3 linked regions of the Alligator mississippiensis genome follow. Each later gene encodes a partner of the first gene's protein in a complex. Links are inferred from orthologs where the notes say so. Each region holds a gene or a part of one and is shown in the gene's direction. Other genes may lie near its edges.

Evidence for each region.
Region 2: INTS9 (region 1) and INTS2 share a complex: the UniProt entries of both Homo sapiens proteins name them as parts of the integrator complex. The link is inferred for Alligator mississippiensis from reciprocal best matches to the Homo sapiens genes INTS9 and INTS2.
Region 3: INTS9 (region 1) and INTS12 share a complex: the UniProt entries of both Homo sapiens proteins name them as parts of the integrator complex. The link is inferred for Alligator mississippiensis from reciprocal best matches to the Homo sapiens genes INTS9 and INTS12.

What each region holds. Positions count from the first base shown.
Region 1 is NC_081824.1:6,034,853-6,042,405, reverse strand, and holds the start of INTS9 (integrator complex subunit 9), read left to right. Parts: upstream 1-4,523; 5' UTR 4,524-4,578; coding exon 4,579-4,587; intron 4,588-7,553. Other genes in the region: HMBOX1 (homeobox-containing protein 1), read right to left, coding at 4,255-4,295. UniProt on the Homo sapiens protein: Component of the integrator complex, a multiprotein complex that terminates RNA polymerase II (Pol II) transcription in the promoter-proximal region of genes.
Region 2 is NC_081837.1:3,838,586-3,846,620, forward strand, and holds the start of INTS2 (integrator complex subunit 2), read left to right. Parts: upstream 1-4,947; 5' UTR 4,948-5,007; intron 5,008-5,306; 5' UTR 5,307-5,333; coding exon 5,334-5,626; intron 5,627-6,253; coding exon 6,254-6,392; intron 6,393-6,927; coding exon 6,928-7,030; intron 7,031-7,163; coding exon 7,164-7,277; intron 7,278-8,035. Other genes in the region: MED13 (mediator of RNA polymerase II transcription subunit 13), read left to right, coding at 217-349. UniProt on the Homo sapiens protein: Component of the integrator complex, a multiprotein complex that terminates RNA polymerase II (Pol II) transcription in the promoter-proximal region of genes.
Region 3 is NC_081825.1:131,326,539-131,333,697, forward strand, and holds the start of INTS12 (integrator complex subunit 12), read left to right. Parts: upstream 1-4,115; 5' UTR 4,116-4,199; intron 4,200-7,159. UniProt on the Homo sapiens protein: Component of the integrator complex, a multiprotein complex that terminates RNA polymerase II (Pol II) transcription in the promoter-proximal region of genes.

The sequences.
Region 1 (7,553 bases):
CTTGATATCTCCTGGGTTACTGCACTCGTTTATACAGGGGCAATGAATTACAGTTTCCAGCTCTTGACTGAATACTCCATTACCAAATCAACTTAAGAGGCATATAGTTTAAAAGACCCTCTCCCCCCCCCCCCCACAAAAATCAACCAAAAACCTTGTCAGTAATATGACACTTATGTGAACACACAAGGTAATACCATCAGGACATGTATAAACTAAAGGCCCAATCCCACAAGGAGTTGTAGGTGGTTACCAGAGCCAGCGTGAAGCTGCATTAAAATCAATGTAAAGTGACATTGACTGCACTGACTATAAAAGCATCCCAGCTGGGAGCAGCCCAGACAACAAACAAACTGCATTAAGTTATCTGTAAGACAGGTAAAGTTATCTGTTCTGCTGCAATAAGATTTTTACGCTGACAGCATTTTTTAACCTGATTGACTCCAAATCCTGAAGTTCCCTGAAGGTGAAGAACATGCCCATAAACTGCTCTGATCCTGCATTCAAAACCCTATGAGCGCTGCACAGAAAGGACTACACTCAGGAATCTCTCATGCAACCAGTAGCTGTTAGCATAAAAGGCAATCTTCAAAAATCCCTGTTTATGGAAGGGAGGCATCAGCATGCTTTAAGTTAAACTGTTTCTTGCATCAGAATAATATTCATTCCCCCAGCTCCCACCACACACACTTATCTAGAGTCTTCCCCACTCCCCAGAACTGCACACTGAAGGTCCAGACTGCATAAGGCACACACTGGCTAAAGTGTTAGCAGAACAAGTGCATTTCACTACAGAAACTTGAATTTCTTTAGTCCCAGGGTTTCCTTAGCTCCCGAAACAAAGGCAGAGAACAATTCAAACTCCTCCCTGAACTTACGCATATGCCACTTCATTATCATGACAAAATGAGTGCATCAGGGAACACTTGGGATTTCATTTTCCAAGCACTGCTCAGACATTTGCTGGCCCCACCTCTCTGAAGGAGAGCAGAAGAAATCCTTGCATGACAGACATGGAAACAGGCATAGGGTAAACTTCTCTGAGCAGGAAGGGTCCATGTCCACTCTGCAGAGCATCTAGCACAACGGGAGCTCGTTACCAGGTGGCCATGTAGGCACAAACTATTATAGTTGTGCTTGTACAACGGAATATGCTTTCAAGACTGAAGCAACTTGCCAAAATTAGTGGGAGAAAGAGGAATGTCTCAGCTACCTAGGATTTTCTGAGAATTTCCCACCAATTCTCTGGCAACATTGCAGTTTCATGCCCAGGAAGAATGCCTGGCAGCCCACATGCTACAATGTCGTCTAGACCTGCTCTGAACGGAGGTAGATGACACAGGATTAAAAATGCTGATGGCTGACTGCTAGCAACAGTGCTAACAGAATGGGAGGAAGATTAAGAGAACAGGCACAGCAGAGTTAAACACCACGTCCTTGTTCCTGATCCCATGCTCAGCCCGCTAGACAATTCTGTCTGTACAGAAAGCTGTGCCTGACTCAGGGTTAAAGACGAAGAACTTGTGTGTCAGAAGGGGACACGGCATCCCCAGATGCAAGCATTTCACTTTAGTTTGAGCAGAATTGTCCCACCTCAGAGAACCCAGAGCTCTGAGGACACAGAGACAGCAGATAATTTTCACAACCAGAAATATAAATCTGCCTGAAGCTAAAAAAGTTCAAAATATCAGTACATGTAATGTACTGCTCCCCACCCCACACACCTTCTGCCCTCTCCCCACCCCACACACCTTCTGCCTCCCTACCTTCTCCTTAAGGATTTGGAGCTGAAAGAGCAGAAGGAGAGTCAAGACGCACACAAATAAACAAAGTTTACGGTCTGCTGTTGCAGGACCATACCCCAGCATGATCTTACAGCGACTAAAGAAAAGTCTTCAGAGTTATATATCCACATACACCCACTCCCCTCTCACCAGCATCCCTGTGAGCCTGGCCTAATGTTAGATAAATAAAGAGAAAGGCAGTTCCTACTAATGAGGCAGGGTACGGCAAGGCCAAAGAAAATGCAATCATCTCAGGGGGGAAAAAAAAAACAAAAAAAAAAAAAACTGCACTGGGCTCCTCCTCTCCCATCTATGGAGGAAATCAGATGCCAGCTGCACCATCCGAGGAAGGAAGCAGAGAGAGGCTCTTGCACCTGATGAGCCCTGCAGAAATGAGTTAGCTATATCACAGGACCCAGACAGCCACTCCAGGATTTTGCAAGCCCAAAAGTTGTCTGCTTAGCACAAACCGTTTATATGACAATTTTATTTTCTGGGGTGTCAAACCATGCAAATGTCATCCCTTTCACTGGGTCCTTCTCCACTATCCCCTCTGGCCTCTGGGGCACTCGGCCAGTGCCCATCAGACTCGCTGTTCTCACATCACGACTCTGCCCATCAGTTTAACACTTCCTTCCCCAGGTTAAAACCCACAGCTTTCAGTTGGTATAGATTTTGCACTTCCCTCGATGCCACAAAAAACTCCAGAAGCAACCAAAATATACCCGACTTCAGCGACTTGGAAATATCACCCCCGCACAAGCAAGCTTCCCCCCGCCAAAAAAAGGCATCCTCCCCCTCCCCCATGTGAAGGGGGTTGGGGAAAGCATCACCCACCGCCAAAGGGCCAGAAGCCAGAGAGAAACGGAGCTGCTGCAGAAACTGTTTCCAAAGAAATGCCCTGCAGATGGATTCAGCGACACTTCTAACTGCCACTTCCCACCAATAAACCCACCGGCCAACACAGAGGGGGCAAAAAGCTCTGCCGGGCTCCTGCGTTTCGCAGTTCCTGAAGGAAGACGCGACTCCCAGCCGGTATTATTCTAACTCCGCGGCAAAGCCAAAAAAGCATAGGGCCAGGATAAAAAAAGAAAAAAAAAAAAAAAAAAAGAGCAGCCATGCGGCATTTTCCTCCCTCCCACCGCCCCCAGCAGCAGCAGCCACTCTTCCCTAGGGCAGTTTCAGGGCCCCACACATCCCAGATGTGCAGGGAGAAGAGATTTCCCAAGCCCCAGCCTCTCCCTAAAATACCAAGTCATGAGGATATGAAGGCAAACATCCCCCCACCCTCCGCCCAATGTCTCCTCATGCTCCACATGTGGGGAAGGGATTTCTCCTTCTCCCAGCCCCAGTCTCCCCCTGAAAAACAAAGTCATGAGCGTACGAAGGCAGACGCTGCCCCCCTCACCCCTCTCCAACCTGGACATAGAGAAGGAGGGAGTTTCACCCTCTTCCCAGCCCCAACCTCCCCCTGAAATACGAGGGGACGCTGCCCCCCCGTTTCTCCTCACACCCAGCATCCCGGACGCGCACCAGCCTTGCCCTACACCCCACGTCCCGGGCACGTGAAGTGATTTCACCCCCCGCCACCTCTCCTCACACCCGAAGTCCCGGACACAGGAAGGGATTTCACCCCTCCAGCCTCTCCTCACACCCAGCATCCCGGACACGCGCCAGGAAGGGATTTCACCACCCGCCCCAGCCTCTCCTCACACCCCATGTCCCAGACCCACAAAGGGACTTAACCCCCCCCCCACAAGTCCCAAACCCATGAAGGGATTTAAACCCCCCCCCCCAGTCCCAAACCCATGATGGCATTTAAACGCCCCCCACAAGTCCCAAACCCATGAAGGGATTTAACCCCCCCCCCCCAGTCCCAAACCCATGATGGCATTTAAACGCCCCGCACAAGTCCCAAACCCATGAAGGGATTTAACGCCCCCCCCCCCCAGGCCCAGACCCACGAAGGGATTTAACCCCTGCCCCCCCAATTCCCAGACCCACGAAGGCATTTAACCCCCCCCATCCCAGACCCACAAAGGGATTTAACCCCCCCCTCCCAAGTCCCAAACCCAAGAAGGGATTTAACCCCCACCCCCCCAATCCCAGACCCATGAAGGGATTTGCCCCCCCAACCTTTCCTCACACCCCAAGCCCCAGACACAACCACGTAGGGGCTTCACCCCCCAGCCCCCCCCCCCAAAAAAAAATTTACAAAGTAACAAGGAGACACACACAGACCCCCCCCCGCACACACGCACGCACACACACACACACACACACACATACACACACACGCACGCAGAGTGAAGGGTTGCGACCCCCAACCCCAGACACACGAGGGGATCCCCACCACATACAGTGAAGGGGTGCCACCCCCTCAGCCCCCCCGAAATACGAAGTGAGGAGGATACACAGGCAACCCCTCCCTCCCCCTCACACCCCCTTTCAGGGCTCACCCCAGACGGACCGTCTTTGTCTGCCTGACGAGCGCCATGTTGATATCAACATCCGAGCGCCCACCTGCCGCCGCGCCGCGGCCCTGGGACTTGTAGTTCGCCGCTCCCCAGGGCGGCGGACGGCGGGCGGCCCGCGGACTGCAACTCCCGGCGTGCCCCGCGGCCCGCCAATCAGGGAGCGCGGCCGGCCGACTACAGCTCCCGGCATGCCTCCCGGGCATGACCTCATCCGCCGGCTGAGGAGGCGGGGAGGGACTACAGGTCCCAGCGTGCCCCGCGCGCTGGGAGGGGGAAGAGGCAGGGCAGGAAGGGGCAGGGGGGAAGAGGCCGGCAGCATGAAGCTGGTGAGTGGGGCGGTGCAGGCCGGGGGGGGGCTCTCTTGTCCTTCCCCCTCCTGTGTCCTGGGGAGCCTCAGCCTTGGCCCCTGCTCCCCCTCCCCACCTTGCTGGAGGGCCCCGTCCTGCACATGGGGAAACTGAGGCACAGGAGGGGCCTAGGCTGGGGGTTCATGCCTGTATTAAGGCCCCAAACAGGCTTGTGTGCACCGGGGGGGCGGGGGAGGAGCGTGGCCGTTTTGGGGGAGGGGTATATGGGGGCTGGGGTGGCACTGGGGTGGTTTGGGGGGATGGTGGAGGGGTATTTTGGGGCTCGGGTGGTTTTTTGAGGGAAAGGGGTGTTTGGAGGCTGGGGTGGTTTTGGGGGATGGTGGAAGGGTATCTTGAGGCTGGGGTGGCACTGAAGTAGTTTGTTGGGGTGGCCCTGGGGGCAATTTTGGGGGATAGTAGAGGGGCATCTTGGGGCTGGGGTGGCACTGGGGGCAGTTTTTGGGGGTGGTGGAGGGGTATCTTGGGACCGGTTTGACACTGGGTGAAGTTCTTGGGTGGCAGTGGAGGGGCATTTCATCTGGGGTGGCGCTGGGGGCAGTTTGGGGGGATGATGTAGGGGCATCTTGGGTCTGGGGGGGCAGTTTAGGAGGGAAGTGTTGGAGGTGCATCTTGGGCAGGGAGCTGGGGCTGCGGAGGGCACGGCAGGTTGGTGAGCGTCTCTGCTCAGTGCTGGGAGCAGCTGAGCATCGATTTCCACCTGAGTTTACAGGGCACTAGAGAAACTTATGGGGAGGAAAGCTCTGATATAACACTGTCTAGTCAGATAACCCAGTCCTGATCGCCCTCCTCTTTGTAACCGCTCTTCTTTTGCAGTAGATAACTCTGTTCAGATATGCCCAGGGCTGTCGTAAAGCAGACGGCCATCAACTGTTGTCTTTGTTTACAGGACAAGAAGTAATGGCCTCTGACGTGCAACACAGGAGATATAGGTTAGATGTTAGGAAGAACTTTCTAACTGCGAGGCTGGTTGAGCACTGGAAGAGGTGACCTGAAAAGGCTGCAAAACCTCTGGTGCTGGAAAGTGGGGTTTTTTTGGTTTTTTTTTTAAATGCATGTTAGACAATTTTAGAGGTTGATTCTCAACCTTGTTAGACATGGGGCACCCCTCAGAAAATGCCTGGAGGCTGCAAGTGAGAGGAAGAGTGGGAAAAATCCCTTATCATGCCTTGTTCACTCTCCCTTTCAGCATCTGCTCTCTGCTGCCCCATGACACAAGAGCCTGGGCAATTGGACCTATGATGTCATTCTGTAAATGGCAGTTTTGTTGTTCACACATTTTTAACTATGGAAAAATCATAGAGCGGGTTTTTTGATGCAAAGAACTCAGAAAGATCATAACAGATCTAAATGTGTTTAACCCAAGGATTCCTATTTGAAATTTCTAGGTTCATCAGAGGGTGGTTTTGATTTAAATACAGTTGTTTTAAATCAAGAACCCTCAATTTTAATCATTATTTTCTACAAAAAGTGCATTCTTGATGTTTGATATAACCTTCATTAAAATATTCCCAACCTGGGTCTCTTTTATGGCTTGGCCAGCCTGCTGCCATGATAGGTTTTCCCTTCTACCATATCATTCCCTCGCTAGATCTCAAATTAGTGAAGAAGCTATACTCAGAAACTTATTCCTCAAGACTTTTGGAATATTCTGCTAAAAATGTTTCTTTTGTTTCTATTGCCATCCCGTCCTTGCATTATGTCTAGACTCTTCCTCCTTGCCCAGATCTACTCCACCCCCAACAATCCTTTATTCATTTAACTTTTTGAAACTTTGCACTTTTAGAGTGGGGCAAAAGCTTGACTCTGCATACACAAACTTGCCGAGACAAGAGGGCTGATCCGTAGGTAATTGGGTCGGTTCTCTCTCATCTCTGTGTACTGCTGTTAACAGGGGTGTTACCTCTGGAGAGACAAATCCACAGTCTGAGAACTGAAACTAAACATCACAGAGATGCTTAATGGGATTTTCTAGACTGAGCACTGAGTTCCACTGGGTAGAATAGTTTTCTTTAATCCTTACTAATCATTGGAGAATCCTTTGGGAACCCCATAAGATTGGACCCTAATATAGTCTATGGCCTGTTTTGACCTATTTATAAAGCTTCTCTAAAAAGGTTACATGAATATATTGTTTCAAATAGTATATAATTAGAAGTTATAATCCCTATTCCATGATGATATCTTTGAGCTCTAACATATCTTAAGTTTAAACTATTTTTATGTAGGTTTATTTTTTAAAAATCGTAAGAAAAAAATCGATATGATTCAATCAGAAAAATCTGATTTAAATAAAAAAATTCAACTTTTAATTAAAAAAAATCATTGATTTTTGTCCACCCTGGTTCATCATGTGAATCATGTTTGTACACCTAACAGTGCTAGTGTTGTGTGCCCCCCCGATAGGATTTCAAGGCACCCCTTGAAATCACCCCTTGGGTCACTGGTTTAGAGGATCCTGCTTTGAGCAGAGGATTCATTTAGAAGACCTCTTAAGGTGCCTTCCATTTCAATTATTTTAGTTATCATTCTTTGTAGCCACTTTACCAAGTTTTCCTCCCTCCGGCTCGGACTGTCATGTCCCAGCGTACAGGGACAATCTGTAGCTTTTCTTTTCCTCAGGCAAAGAAAGGTTGGGCTGACTTCCACAGGTGTTGAGTACCTTTGTCTGAGGAAGGTGTAGATGGCATAGGTTGGCACTCAGTACAGTAAAATCTCTGCTATCTGACATTTAACTAGCCAGAATACTCTGTTAACTGGAATTTCTGGCCGGCCGGACGCAGGGGAAAGCTCGCACACGGCAGCTGCCACGGCCGCTCCGCGTGGGCTGCCCTGCACTGCCATTGCTCTGCTGTGCCGAGCTTTGCTCCGCGCTGAACCCTGCTGCTGTTGCTGCTCCACATGTAACTGCTGCCACCTCCCCACTC
Region 2 (8,035 bases), on another chromosome or scaffold:
GCTTCGGAGAACAGTGACTCGGAGGCTAGCCGTTTATGAGCTGACTAGCCTGACTTCGGTGCATGCGTGTGTGTTGGGGTTTTTGTTCAAGTGTTTAGCTTACGGCAAACCTGCAATGTCATGAGATGCGTCTTACTTGTTTGTGAAACATTTTTTTCTGAAAGTGGTAGTGGAAAGAGCTGTATAGGTTTCATGGGAGTTTTGTTTGCTTTCTAGGTTTGTTTTGGAACAGTACAATGCACTCTCCTGGCTAACCTGTGATCCTGCAACCCAGGACAGACGGTCGTGTCTCCCAGTTCATTTTGTGGTGCTGAATCAATTGTATAACTTTATCATGAATATGCTGTGATCTTCATCTGAACTTTGCAAGAAAAGAACAAGGAAAAGGGATATTTCATTGCAGGACTAAGTTACACTTCTTCTCAGTGCAAGTCATTTGTGATGGGGTATAATTCTTGTTACTTCCAACAAATATTGTTTTGACTTGTGATGGGGCACATATAACCCTGCTGTCTTTGTTTCATTGACTATACAGGACTCTTTAGAATGATGATCAGACAAAATGTATTATAACATTTTTAGTAGCAAAATTAACCATTTTCCCCAGTCACAGTATTTGTGAAAAGTAATGAGCCATAGTACCCAGTCATGTTTAATGAATATTAAAAGCATGGAGATGAGAAGAGACATGAGGAACCATAAGTTTCTACCTATGGCTTCAGAACATCAAGATGTTCTTGTATTGGATTATAGTACCTAGTATTCGAAAATGCCTGCATCTCTCTTATTTATTGTAAGTTTTTAAATGTATAAATTGTCTTATATTTCTTAACCTCTTTTATAAAAATTTTCCTAGAAGGTTTATACTGCCTTCTTGCTTTAAAGCAATTGGTCTAAAATATATGTAATCGTCTTAATTAAAAGTTGCAGTAGGTTGCTTTTAGAGTATTATTTTTTTGTAAGGGGGTGGGTGGGGACAGTAAATTTGTATTGTCTTGATGTACAGTTTAATGGGGATAGAGGGGTTAATGTCCATACCATTGTGTGTGGGGGATTTACAGCTAAGCTGTAGTTGCAGAGTACATGTACAGTAATGAAGTTCACTGTGTTTATATAAATTGAAAAGGTACCGGGTCTTGCAGCATTTTATATCACACCTTTACAGAGTAACAATGGCAATATATAAGTGATATTGTAGGTGGTTTAACTTGTAGTGAGAATAAAATGAATAAACTCTCAATTTAATTTTGTGTTATGGCTCAGAACTTTGGCTAGCTTCAGGCTCCAGTTGCTGGGTTTATTTAGTCCAAGAATACCTGCTACGCAGTGTGTAGCTAACCAGGAGTTCTTGGCATTGCGTTCTTGCATTCTTTAAGATACATATTTCATCGCAAAGATGAAACCGAACATCCAGGCATGGGAAAAAACATGAGGAAATTACCCCCAAGTCTCCTGTAAGGCTGAAACTTAGCTCAGCTCTAGCCATTTCACAAATGCAAAAACAGTCAATCTTGACTTTAAGATTGGTGTGTGTTTAACTAAAATGTGGTGTATATAGATTCTCAGTGAATTCTGGTATTCAGACTGAACTCCACTAGTAAAAAAAAAAAAAAAAAATCCATTTTCCTTTTTAATCTATTTTTGGCACTGTGGTGAAGGTCCCAGGTAATCAGTGTATGAGTTTTTTCCGCCTCTGATTCCAGCCAGGGCATGTGCCAAGGAGGCTCAAAACTCCCTGAGGAAGGGACTCTGGAGGCCTTCATATACCTCTTCTCCCTCTACAATCAGCAGCTTTCTTCACTTAACACTTCTTTCCTTTTACTCGCGCATGCCAAATCTGTAATGCTTCTCTAAAACGGCCCCTACGGGTGCCCACGAGCAATTCCTTTCTCATGGTTCCTTGTCCTCCGACTGCCAGCTTAAGAATTTACTTCTGCAGCGTCCTTCTCAGCTGCATGTGGGAACCCATGATAACCGAGCACCCGGGTCTCACTGGACAAACCGAGCCATCCGTTTTGCCAGTTAAGCCTTTTAAAGGAGCAAGACTTAAGATCCCTTTGTGCACCCACTGCTAAATCCTCTACAAGGACAAAGTCGTTTGTATTTACAAAACTGGATTTGGTAGCTTGTACTGAAAATCATGTTTTGTGAATACAAAATATTTGCCTGAAATATCACTTTTCATATGAACAAACATCAAACCTCTTTGAATTGTGTATATACAATACTAGCGACCTTTGTGTTTTTGTATGAAGAAAATGTACAATTGGTGACAAAGGTTTTCAGTCATTTCTTCAAAACAACATTAGTGCAATCAGAAGTCAGCATATTTTGATATTAAAGTAAAAAAACTGGGTGTCTGCATTATTATTATTTTTTTTATTATGCTAATGCATCACAGATTGAGTAGCATGTTACTTTGTTTGAGAGCATTTTTTCACGTGGCTGAGATCTGAGGGGGGAAAATGCTCTTTAGCCTGGAATCTTCAAAGCTTCCTTCCTTTTTTTTTTAGCTGGTTACTTTTAAACCTGTCTTAATGTTAATGAACCTCTTTAGCGTGGAACTTGTTAGCAGTGGGCTGTTTAAAATGTGGCTGACTTGTATTCATCAGGTAAGTGAGCCAGTTGCCTGAACAGCGAGGTCCCGATCAATGTGCAGTCATGCTAACCTTCTGTGAAATATACCACTAGTATTTTTCAAATACAGTAAAAACAGAAATTAAAATACTGTAACCACTAGAAGAGATCAGGAGGCCCTTTTGATTAGTCTTTTTAGAAACCATTTATGCTGGGAGATTTTTCCTGGCTTGGCATCTTTTTGCCAACAGCGTACATATCAAAACTGCCAGCACTGAGGAGCAAGGTACTTGTTTTACTTCTAAATAAATGACTTTCACCTTACGAATCAATTTGCCTAATGATATCAATCCCACTGTTTAAAGTGCATATAATTACTGATGTAATAATAATACTGTGACAGCCAGCTAACAAGATAATTTATACTGATCACTGACAGGTTCAGCTGCAACGTCTGTGCTTACCATTGCTCCTGACAGCTCTTATTAAGTAGTAGGTGTGGAACTTTTATTAAATGTATTGGCTACACATGGGATTCTTCCAGCCAGTCAAAAAGGAAAAAAAAATCTAGCCATACTCTATTTATGCAAGCCATTCAGTTATCTGGGCTGGGCTGTAACAGTGTATGGATTAGACTCCTTGTACACACTATGGTTTGGCCCCAGTGTACTTGCGTATGGCCCTTGCATTTTAAAGTAAACGTCATTTTTAAAACTTTCTAACCCTTTCAGAATAAAATTAAAATTTTAAATCCTCAGCTATATTCTTACTCAGCTGTCAGTATGGCACAGATTATGATGCTCTCCTTTCATCTTCACATCTACCTTCCATGATTTATTTTTTTTAAACCATGTGTTGCTGCAAAGATTTGCAGATGTCTTTAATTGAGCACTATTAATACTGTAATATCAAAATATTATGTTGCATTATTTAAAAATTCAAAATGTAATGGAGGAAAAGGTTTTAAAAAATGCTATTGCACCATATAGTTCGCTGCACAACAGTCTATGGCATAGCATATCAGTCGGTTTTAATATTATCCATGTAATGTTTTGATCTGGGTTTCTTCTGAGAATCCAGTTTCTCAGCTGAGAGTTTTGTCTCGCAGTATCTCTTAAACACAAAAGTGGACAGTGAGTGTCTGTGTCTCTCTCTCTTTCTCTCTCGTACTAATTGAAAGACCCAGAACTACACTTAACTGTTTAGAAAACCTTATTTGGGGGTGTACTCTTTATTTTCAATGGAGTAAAACTTCATTTACAGTAAAACTGGATTTGGGACCTACAACAATCCTCAGGGTCACTTTTTCAGAAGTTTTAATATAGCTTTAGGGGTTGGTTTTGTTTTTTTTTTTCCAAATAAACTGGATTTGCGGACCTTGTAAACCTATTTAAACTGCAAATTGTGGCATCATTACTGGACATGTCAGCTTCAAGAAAGCGTCTCCCACCAGCTGGGTCACTTTAAGAAGGGGAGCGTCTAAGTTCTCGCTCAGCCGCGACATGAAATGGTCCAAGTCGTCTTATTTAACGTGACAGGAAAATGAAATAAGGAACAAAAACAAACAAACAAAAACACTATTGCTGCCGAATGCCATAAACACTGAGTTGTACAAATTGTGATTGAGGAAATGAAAAGGTTTATACTTTTTAAAAAAAAAAAATTCAAATGGAATAAATTATTCATGAAGCCTTGATTGGTGGTGTCTCTTTATTTCCAACCCCCACGGGGACCGTGGACGAGCGAGGCGAGCCCGTCCGCCTCGCCTCGCCGCGCCGCGGTGGGAAGTCAGTGGCTCTCCACCCCCCGCACGTTTTTTCCCCTCGTGCTGTGGACCACGACGGAGAGGAGGGCCGGGCCTGATGTGTGAAGCAGGAGCGGCTCTCCTCCAGCCCCCAAATACTGGGTTCTTGACGAGGACCGAGCCGAGGCCGGGCTGCCGGGCAAATTCAGTTTCTCTTGGTGTTTGCCCCTTGATTTTATAGAAATTCAGTTTCTTTTGGTTGGTTTGTTTTTGGGGGGGCTTTGCCCCTTGATTTCGAAGCACTGCAGCTGCTCTGTTTGTTTGTGTTGTGTTGTTTTTGACCCTTGACTTTGAAGTGAGCCAAGCTGCGGCCTGTCCTGACGAGCTTCCCCTGTCACGCAGCAGCAGCTGCCCCACCTTCCCCCGCGGGACTCGGTTCCCTTCTCTTCCCCATCTTCATTTCGAAGGCGGAGCCGAGGGCCCGGCCCGGCACCATCCTGCGGGGAGGGGACACTGGAGCCGGCACTGCCCAGACTTCCGCCCCGCCCCTGGGCCTGAAGCAGAGCGCCTGGCCTGGCGCCGGCTTCCGCCCCGCTTCCGCTACGGGTCGTCATTTCCTGTGCGCCCGCGGAGCGGTGCGCCGGTCCTGGCCGGAAGTGGGCGGGGCGGCCCCGGGCTGAGGGGAGGTGGGTTGCGGGCGCGGTGTCGGTGGCGGGGCCCTCATCCAAGGGGTGGGGTGCACCCCGGGTGGCGGGGCTGGGGCCCGGCAAGGAAGCGACCCCCCACCCCCAAGGGAGGCCGCTCAAGGCCCCGCAGCTGGTGTTGGGGGATGCGGCCGTGCCCCGTGTCCCTCGTGCAGGAGTGAGGGGAATACCACCTCTTCCAGCCCCCGCTTGGCCAGAGCCGGGAGGGAGGTCCCGGGACGCGGAGGAGCGGAGCCCCTTCCCCACCGTTGTCTCACCTGTCTCTTGGCGCTCGCGCGCAGGGCGGCGGTGGTGGCAGCGCCGGCGCCATGGCGGAGTGCTCCAGCCTGCAGTTCGTCAGCCCCTACGCGTTCGAAGCAATGCAGAAGGTGGACGTGGTGCGCCTGGCGGCGCTGAGCGACCCCGAGCTCCGGCTCTTGCTGCCTTGCCTGGTGCGCATGGCCTTGTGCGCGCCCGCTGACCAGAGCCAGAGCTGGGCGCAGGACAAAAAGCTCATCCTGCGGCTCCTTTCCGGCGTGGAGGCCGTCAACTCCATCGTCGCCTTGCTGTCCGTGGATTTCCACGCGCTGGAGCAGGACGCGAACAAGGAGCAGCAGCTTCGGTAACCGAGAGGATACGCGCGGTCTGCACGCTCGTGTCTTGCGAGGGCTTCGTTTGACTGTTGCCCGCGTCCCGTTCTTGTCCTGACGCGGCTTTGCCTTACTGTTGCAGCTCGTTACTTGTTCCTCGGGCTCGGTAGGATGACGTTGGAGGAAGGAGGGTGGGATTTGTTTACGTATTTATTTAGCTTCGAGCGTCATACCCAGCACCTGGCCAAGGGACAGTGATGCGCATTAAATGAAGACCCATCTCTCTGGACCAGGGCAAAGAGAAGACTATGAGGCTTCCAGTAGGTTAAGAAATAGAGGCTTCCTCAAGCCCTGTCTTCTGAGGTGAAAACAGAGAGCCAGGGTTGTACGAGTATGCTTGCTTGACTGTGGTTTGTGTGCAGATCGCAAGACACACCTGTGTTTTGACAGCGGGTTAACTTTGCCATTCAGGTGGGTTTGGTGTTTGAAACTCGATGGTGCCAAAGTCCCGGTGCTGCTCTCTGGCTAGCTGGACCCCCAGCAAAGAATATTTGTCGAATGAGCGAGTGCGAATGCATTGTCTGTTTGTTTTCACCAAAAGGCACCTGGTTTCTGTGGCTTTTTTGAACAGCTGTTTTCACATTTCAATGATCTATTAGGCTCAAACTCGGAGGAGGTAGCGGAGAAAGCATCTTGGTTTCGCAGCTTCAGCACGGTCTGACGTTGGAGTTCGAGCACAGCGATTCCCCGCGCCGGCTTCGGCTTGTGCTTAGCGAGCTGTTAGCGATTATGAACAAGGTGAATTTCTGTTTCATTCCTTACCACGTGCGTGGATTGATGTTGGTGGACGTGGAAAAAAAATCAAGCATGGGTGCACATGGCTTCAGGCCTGCGCTTTATGCTTGGGGCAATGGAGATCCTTTTTGTTCGGTCACATTTTGTTTTATTTAAGGCAGGGGCATGGAGGTGTTTTTAGTTACTAGCATCTACATAGCCGGGGTTTCCAAACTAACAACAAAAGCTTAAATTGGTATCCCACGTTTTGGGAACAAATACACCTCGATTGGTTTCTCCAGTTTCTCTCATGACAATTCGGAGCTACGTTCACCTGGCCTAGGTGCCTGCTTAAATATTTTTTAGCAATTCTCTGGTTTTTAGGCAACTTTATTACAAACAATCATAATAAACTGGGCATGTTGCAAGTGTGCTGGGTCCGTTTTCACATAGTTAATCCTTTGCGTTCAAATCCACGGGAATTTGATGTGAAGTAACTGAGTTATACTGTTTACTCACTTTATTACACTTGTATTATGATGATAACCTCCTATTCCAGGTGTCGGAGTCAAATGGTGAATTTTTCCTCAAGTCTTCGGAGCTCTTCGAGAGCCCGGTCTACTTGGAGGAGGCAGCAGACGTTCTGTGTATTTTGCAAGCAGGTGTGCAGTCCTTTACTTACGGACCTCTCCGTACCATCACTTTTAAATGGTCAGCATGTGACTGACACAGTTTTAATTTCAGAGCTTGTTTTAGACTGAAAACAATGGCTTTTAAAATCCTGTTTCCATTCAGAGCTGCCTTCACTGTTGCCCATAGTCGATGTGGCAGAAGCCCTACTTCATGTTAAAAATGGAGCCTGGTTCCTGTGCCTCCTTGTGGCCAATGTTCCTGATAGCTTTAATGAAGGTAAGTTGTCGTTTCTTGTTTGGCATTTTTCCTTCCTGGAATTTATAACCCCTTCAGCAAAAATTAATTGCAGCCCAAAATGTAGCATAAAACAGTACTAGTCTTGAGGCACTTGCCTGCACATGATTCAGCCCTAAGGGGCTTCCTGCTTCTGCCACTCACCTCCCTTCACAGCACCTTCTCCTGTGGCTGACTCCCTGTGCTGTTATCTCAATATGAGTCTTACCCAGGTCAGTAGTGACAAAGGATGGTAATGCTGTGGAGTTGCGGCCTGTTTCTGCACTAGCATCCCCCTTGCCAAGCTGTTATTACTTTGTACCTACTGCAGAGGTGAGGGAATGAACGGTCCTGGAGACAGAGCTGCTCTTGCAATCATAGTTGTTGCTTCAGGTCAGTCTGCAGGGTGGGAGTAGAGGAAGAGCTTGCAGTGCTCTTATCCAAGCTGTATCTCAACTTGGACCGAGGACTTCACTGTCCAGGGCCGTCCCATGCAGCACCTGACTTAACAAGGGGCATGAGTAGCTGAAGGCAGTTTGGATCAGGCTTTAGTCTGTATCATCACTGTAAGTTCTGTGGGACAGGCACTGTCTCTGTTCGGTTTGTATAGTGTCCTAGCATAAAATGGCCCGGGTCCAGGAGCAGGGCTCTTCAGCCTGGTGGTAACACAAGTAACAAAACCAATGTTGAACTGAATGGCCCATTCCAGTGGGCTGTGTGTATATGGGAAGAGCTGCCTTCCTAGTGCAATAGGCAGAATA
Region 3 (7,159 bases), on another chromosome or scaffold:
GGTCCCCATTTTCAAAAAAGGGAGGAAGGAAGACCCAGGAAATTATAGGCCTGTTAGTCTTACCTTGGTCCTGGGGAAGCTCTTTGAGAAAATTATCCAGGTGCACATCTGCAAGGGACAAGCAGGGGAGTGTATGTTTAGGGGCAACCAGCATGGGTTCATTAGAGGCAGGTCCTGTCAGACCGACCTGGTGGCCTTCCATGACCAGGTCACAAAATCCTTGGATGCAGGTGTCACGGTGGACATAGTCTTTCTGGACTTTAGGAAGGCATTCCACACTGTCTCTCACCCCATTCTTGTTAAAAAATTAGGAGATTGTGGTGTCAATGCCTACACAGTCAGATGGGTCGCCAATTTGCTGGAGGGCTGCACCCAGAGAGTGGTGGTGGATGGGTCATTTTTGACCTGGAGGGATGTCGGCAGTGGGGTCCCCCAGGGCTCGGTCCTCGGGTCTGTACTGTTCAACATCTTCATCAGAGACTTGGACGAGGGGGTGAAAAGCACCTTGTTCAAATTCACAGATGACACTAAGATGTGGGGAGAAGTGGGAACGCTAGAAGGGAAGAATAGGCTGCAATTGGATCTGGACAGGTTACAGGAGTGGGTGGATGAGAATAAGATGGGATTCAATACTGACAAGTGCAGGGTGCTGCGCCTAGAGAGAAAGAACCAGCAGCATACCTAGAGGCTGGAGAACTCCCTTCTCGTCACCACAGAGGCAGAAAAGGATCTTGGAGTCATTATAGACTCCAAGATGAACATGGGCCGCCAATGTGGGGACGCAGTCAGGAAGGCTAATCACACCTTGCATCCACAGATGCATCATGAGCAGGTCCAAGGAGGTGATCCTCCCCCTCTATATGACATTGGTCAGGCTGTAGTTGTAGTACTGCGCCTAGTTCTGGGCACCGCACTTCAGGAGGGATGTGGACAACATCAAGAGGGTCCAGAGGAGGGCCACTTGCATGATCAGGGGGCAGCAAGGCAGGCCCTACAAGGAGAGGCTACGAGACCTGAACCTGTTCAGCCTCCACAAGAGAAGGCTGAGAGGGCATCTGGTGGCTGTCTATGAACTGGCCAAGGGAGACCGGCAGGCAATGGGAGAGTCCCTGTTCCCCCGAGCACTACTGAGAGTAACAAGGAATAATGGCCATAAGTTGACAGAGAGTAGATTCAGGCTAGATATCAGGAGGCACTACTTCACAGTCAGGGCGGCTAGGATCTGGAACCAACTTCCAAGGGAAGTGGTGCTCACTTCTATCCTGGGGGTCTTCAAAAGGAGGCTGGATAGACACCTTGCCGGGGTTGTCTGACCCCAGCATTCTTTCATGCCCATGGCAGGGGGTCAGACTTGATAATCTGCTTAGGTCCCTTCCGACCCTACCAACTATGAAACTATGACATCGTGTCCTTACTAATCTCACCAAACCACATCTTGACTTTACAGAGCGTGCAGGTAGAAGGAAATGAGAGTCCAGCTGACAGGGTTTACGGCTTTACTGGCTCCCCTGGTATGTCACATTCTCAGCTATGACATCTCCCAGGTAAGGCCTCTGGGTTCTTCTTCCCCAGACTAGTCCCTGCCCTTTGATGCATCTAGCCTAGCCTCTAGAGCCCTAATGGAACCTCTAGCCTCTATTTTGGGCCTGTGAGGCCTCCTCCTGTTTTCCTAACGCTTATCCTAGTCAGTTTTCCTGGGTTTCCATTCTTCCTGGTCCAGCCAGAGCCTTCTGCTTCCCCTGCTGCTAAGCCCTTCCTTTATACTGCTCTTAAAGATGTGGCCTCCACCCTGGTTCCTCTTTAGAGGGCCCTTTCCCTTCTTCCCTATAATGGGGACTGAAGCGGAAGAGACCAGTGGCAACAGTTCTAGATGCTGCCTTTGTAGAGTGGGGCATAAAATAGCCACAACCGCAGCAAGAGCTGCCATGATCATCACCACAACAGCCAATGGTGCCCTGGGCATGGAGTTGCCCTGCTACACTCCTGCTGTCCCATTATACAAACCATCGTGCTTTCCACTCTGCTTGTAGCTTATATTTTGTAGCTTATATTTTCCCACTTCCCTATCAAATTACTTCTCTTGTCCATTCAAACTGCAGACTCCTTGGGGCAGGACAGACATTTACTTATTTCAGCTGGAGCCTCAAGCTGCTTCTGTAATACAATAATGAGCAACATCATCTGCTATACTGAATAGGTTAAAGACCAGATCTCAGAAACAAATTTACCCATGGTATGAATGCCACTTTTGTTAACTAAAACTCAAAAAACAAAAATAACTTCACAGTTATCGTGTTTGTTTGCTTTTCAGTATTTCCCAGGACATGGAGTAAATGCCAATTAAATCACCTTCACTGCACAGCAGTGTTTGGGTTGTGGGACAGACCTATGCATCTTTGTTCAAAGAACAGATGTTTCCCAAGAAAGTTAATTTTTTTTTAAAAGATGGAAACATTTTGGTCCTAATTTCTGAATAAGGCTTTGATCATAGATGGACTTTGTGTTGGGCAGAGTCTTGGGCATCTTTGATAACAATATTTCTTTCAATTTAACATGTGCCAGGACAATTAGGTTTTTAAAAAATGGAACGTCTGCTCCAACAAATAGGCAGAGCAGTACAAAACAGTACCCGTGCGTTTAGGACATGCAGCTCAAGTGACCTAAGCTATATTTCCACCAATTTACTGTGCGACAACAAACTAAATGCTTAACTTCTGTGCCTCAGCTTCCCCATTAACAGAGAAAAATTAGTCAGAAGGTTCTATATAACTTCATATGAAGTTCTTTTGAGAGATTCAGATGAAGAATGCCAGAAACTGAATTAAAAACCAGGCTTTGGTGCCCAAACTATTTGAATGGACCCCTTTCAACCAACCCTGACAGTTCGCAAAGGGCAGCAGAAGAACGGGGTGAGGGTCTAGCGGAAAGGGCTACCAGGCTTGAGACATTGCTTATTCTGCAGAGAGCAGCGTTGCCAGGTCTTAAACATGAAATTATCCTGTCGGAAGCTCAAAATTATTGCATTTGCTGAAAAACTATTGTACACTGAAAAAATATGCAAATAAGTATGCAAATGTTTATTTACTTTATACTGCTTCCTGTAACTTGCCAGGGAGTGAGTGAGAACAGAGTCAAAGTTGAAACATCTCCTTGTTTTGAAGCAAGCAGTCATAAGAATGGGTTGACCAAAAATCATTTCTCAGCCTTTTGAATCAAATCAAGTATGATGGGGGCATCCAAACCCCAAGACCTCTGAGCTTGCTTGGACCTACACGTAGGATACCTGCCAATGGGTTTGGGAGCATCTTAAGTCCCAGAGTAATTGGTCTGGGAAGGAGGATGTTCACCAGTTGTAGCACCATACACAGCATTCAGAATGATTGAGTCCTGCCTGGTCCATCGATAAGGCTTTTGGACCGATTGAGCTCTGCTCAACCAATATGATTCGGAACTGATTTGGGTGCTTTGACCTAGAACATGAAATATATTGAATTAAAAAAAGCAAAACAAAATAAAGTCAGTTAAGGCTCCCTGAAAGTGACCTGGGTTTTGCATCCGCTGCGCCAAAGACCTGCCTCAAAAATTGCGCTATGCTTTGAGCACTTCTCCTATTATTATCCTACGAGGGTTGACGTTATGGTACAATTCGGATGGCTCTCGTACACCCGGCCACCCTGGCAGAGAGAAACAGGCCGGGGGGACAAGGGAAGGCGGCAAAATGACGGTGGGCAGGCGCGGCGCAGCCCGAGGCGCCAGGAGCCCGAGGGGTGCACCCGGGGCCGCGGAGACCCCACCGCCAGCCCCGCCCGGGGCCCAAACCAGCACTGCCCACCCCCCGCCCGGCGCGCCCGGATTGGCCCCGCAACGCACACGCGTCACAGGCCCCCCATTGTGATGCAGCCCCTTTCCCCAGGGGGGAGCTGGTGCCCCTTCCCAGCCCAGTCAAGAGCTGGGGGCTCCAACCTAGGTCAGCACCCCCCCGGAAGCATGTGACTCCCCCACCTCGGAACCACGTGACCGCCGGCCCCGCTCCCCGCAGCCGCTCACCCGTGGCGCAGCTCCGGCCCCCGCGCGGCGCTGACGTCACAGCGGCCCCGCCCCTTCCTGCGGCGCGCGCTGCCGGGCGGAACCCGCGGGCGCAGCGCGCGGCGCCGGGGGGACCGCGAGCTGGACGGACTGGCCGGCCGGCGCGGCCAGGGGTAAGCGATCTGGGCTGCAAATAGCACGTGTGCAGGGCCGATTTGGGATCCCTCCCCACCCCCCTCCTCCTAGCAAGCCGATGCAGTGCTTGCAGCACCTGCTGTAGCCGGCCCGAGGCAGGTGTCGCATGCAGCACGGGTCCTAGAGCGGAGCAGTGCAGTGCAGTCCCGCACCAGCCACAGTGGCACCGGCACCGGCTGCGGGGCAGGGGCCTGTGGGTCCCGCCACCTGCCAGATCCAGGACCTGTGCTGCACGCGGGGGCTGGATCTGACACGCCTGGCTGGGGGGGAGGGGCAGTCCCTGGACCCGATCCAGCCTGTGGACCAGTCCCGTGTCACTCATCTGGTGCACGGGGCCAGCTCACTTTGTCACCCCTGCCTTACAGTAAGCATTAGCCAGGGATTCATTTCTGTTTGCTTTTCTGGGCAGTGAACCAGATAGGGCTTTTCCATCTCTAATGGTTCAGGTTCTTGAGCCTCACCTGAATTACCAGACCCCTTTTCACCTGTTCGTTTTTCCTTTGAAGATGCATTTTGGGCAGTCAAACCTGAGCTAAATGCAAGCATGTTACTGGGTTAACAGTATGTTAGGGTCAAGCTGAAAGATATGGCTCTGTGAAGAGCTGCTCTTTATTTGCGGTAGTGCTGGGTACGTGAGTGACTGGCACCTCCTGAATTTGGGGGGGTGCCTGCATAAGCCACCACGGTGGCAGCCCTGTCGGGGGGCACCAACCTTACCAACAGCATCAGTGTCTGCTGTCAGGGGGGGCTCGTGCTCCTCTGTGCACCCTCTACCTGTGGCTATGTCGCCTATGGCTGGGTATATGTAAGTTTAGTCTAAGAAGAGAAGTATAAGTCTATAAGGGGGGGGCACATTAGGATCCGGGAGAACTGTTGTTCACCAGGGCCCCCCAAGGGATAACTAGGTATAATGGCCACAAACTCCTGGAAGGCCGATTTAGACTGGACATAAAAAAAAAAAAAACTTTACAGTCCGTGTGCCCAGGGTCTGGAACAGACTCCCCCCAGAGCTGGTTGGTGCAAGCACCTACTGTGGACTCATTCAAAAGGCGCCTGGATGCTTATCTTGCTGGAATCATTTGATCCCTGCAGACTTCCTGCCTCTGGCAGGGGGGCTGGACTCAATGATTTCATGAAATCCCTTCCAGCCCCTAATGTCTATGAAATCTATGAAGAGAGGACACAAACCAAGCAATAAGTAGCCCAGAGACAGACAAACAGCAGGTAGGAGGAAATGAACCAACAGATTCACAATACATGTGCACAGTGCACACACATGTACCTGTACCTGTCTGCGTGCATATATATGTGTATGTGCACTTGTATGTATATCTGCACGTGTGTGTATATAGGGCAGGTCAGTTGTTCCCAAGTTACAAGACAGTCTTTAAATTAAAGTTAATGTGCTGGAAGACTTTCATCACTTTTAACCTTTTTACTTTATTTCAAGCAACAGCTTATCTATTAAGTGAGGAAAGGGTGGGGAGAGTAAAGAAAGACTGTAACCAGTTAAACCAGAATTCTCCAAATGCTGGCTGGATCTAGCACCCAGTCCAGGCAGGGCCTTCCCAAATAAAAGATCTGAGGTGGCTCTCTGTCTACTAACTCTTTTGCTAATTAGCCCAGTGCATTGCCAGGCAAACGTGACTGCCCTCAGTCTCTGTAACTCTGCAACATGCCTTGGAAGTACAGGGGAGGGAGGCTGTGGAGTTATACAAGGGGTTGGAGGAAGTGGACTCTGGGGCTGTAGTGCCAGGCCTGGGGTGGGAATAATTGGTGGGCTGTGTATCTCTGCAAGATACTCTGAGAAAAGCAGGCTATTGGACTGCATGTGGTGCTGGAGCATAAGTGGTCTGTGGGATTGCATATTAGAGGTCTGTGGAGAATCATGGAGTGTTCAGGCTAGTGAACAGATGTTAGACATGGAGGAACAATGGATGTTGGGACTATGGGACCATTCTAGGAGTGCATCGATAAAAAATTTGGGGGCCTTTACAGATGGCCAATTATTAACCAGTTATATCGGTTGATACCGATCTGATTGCCAATATGCAGCCTGGCAGTTTGGAGAGCAGCATCCAGCCAGTAAGTCTGTTGTGGGGAAGGAGCGTAGGGGAGGCAGATTGAGGCCCCTGCAGTGAGGCAGGGGCTGGGGTAGGCGCTGCACAGCCGGGACGGAGTTGCAGCTGGTCCAGGGGAGGGGGAAGCAGCTCCTGCCTCTGCACGCACCCCTGGGGCAAGCGTGGGGGGCACATGCCCCCCCTGGATCTGTGTGTGGGGTAAGGGTGGGCTGCGCACTTAGGGCCAGGGCTGTGCCAACCTCTTCCTGGCAGGGGCTGGGACAGGGCAGACGACGGCACTGGGAGGGGTGGCTATGGCAAATTTTGGGGTAGCTATAGTCCCCCCATAATCCCCCCCCCCCCGGCACCACTGCCACCCGCCCCAGCAGGAGCGCCCCCCCCCCCATACCCCTTGGATGAGCCACAGCTCTGTCCCACACTCCACCCCATCCTGGCTGGGCAGCAACTGCCCCAGCCCCACTCCCTCCGTCACCGCGGGGGCCTCAGTCTGCCCCTCACCACCATGCCCCTTCCTCCCCACAGATTTATTGACCAGATGCTGCTTTCCAAGCTTCTGGGCTGCACTCCTGGCCATATGCATTCTACAGCTGCTCACATGCATGTGACACTTATCAGCGACATTATCAGGCACATTAGCCAAAAAAAGCCAATTGCCAATAATGTCAATTTTCCTTTTATCAGTGCCGATACAATATGGACCAATGCATCAATGCATCTCTAGACAGTTCATATGTAGCATCCTTTGTGTGTGGAGGCAGTGGCTAAGGCTAGAAGATATGGGGCAGTTTAGGAGAAGAGCACTACTACCTACTGATAAAAAAGATGAACTCCTGGTACAGGGCAGAGCCCCATGGCTT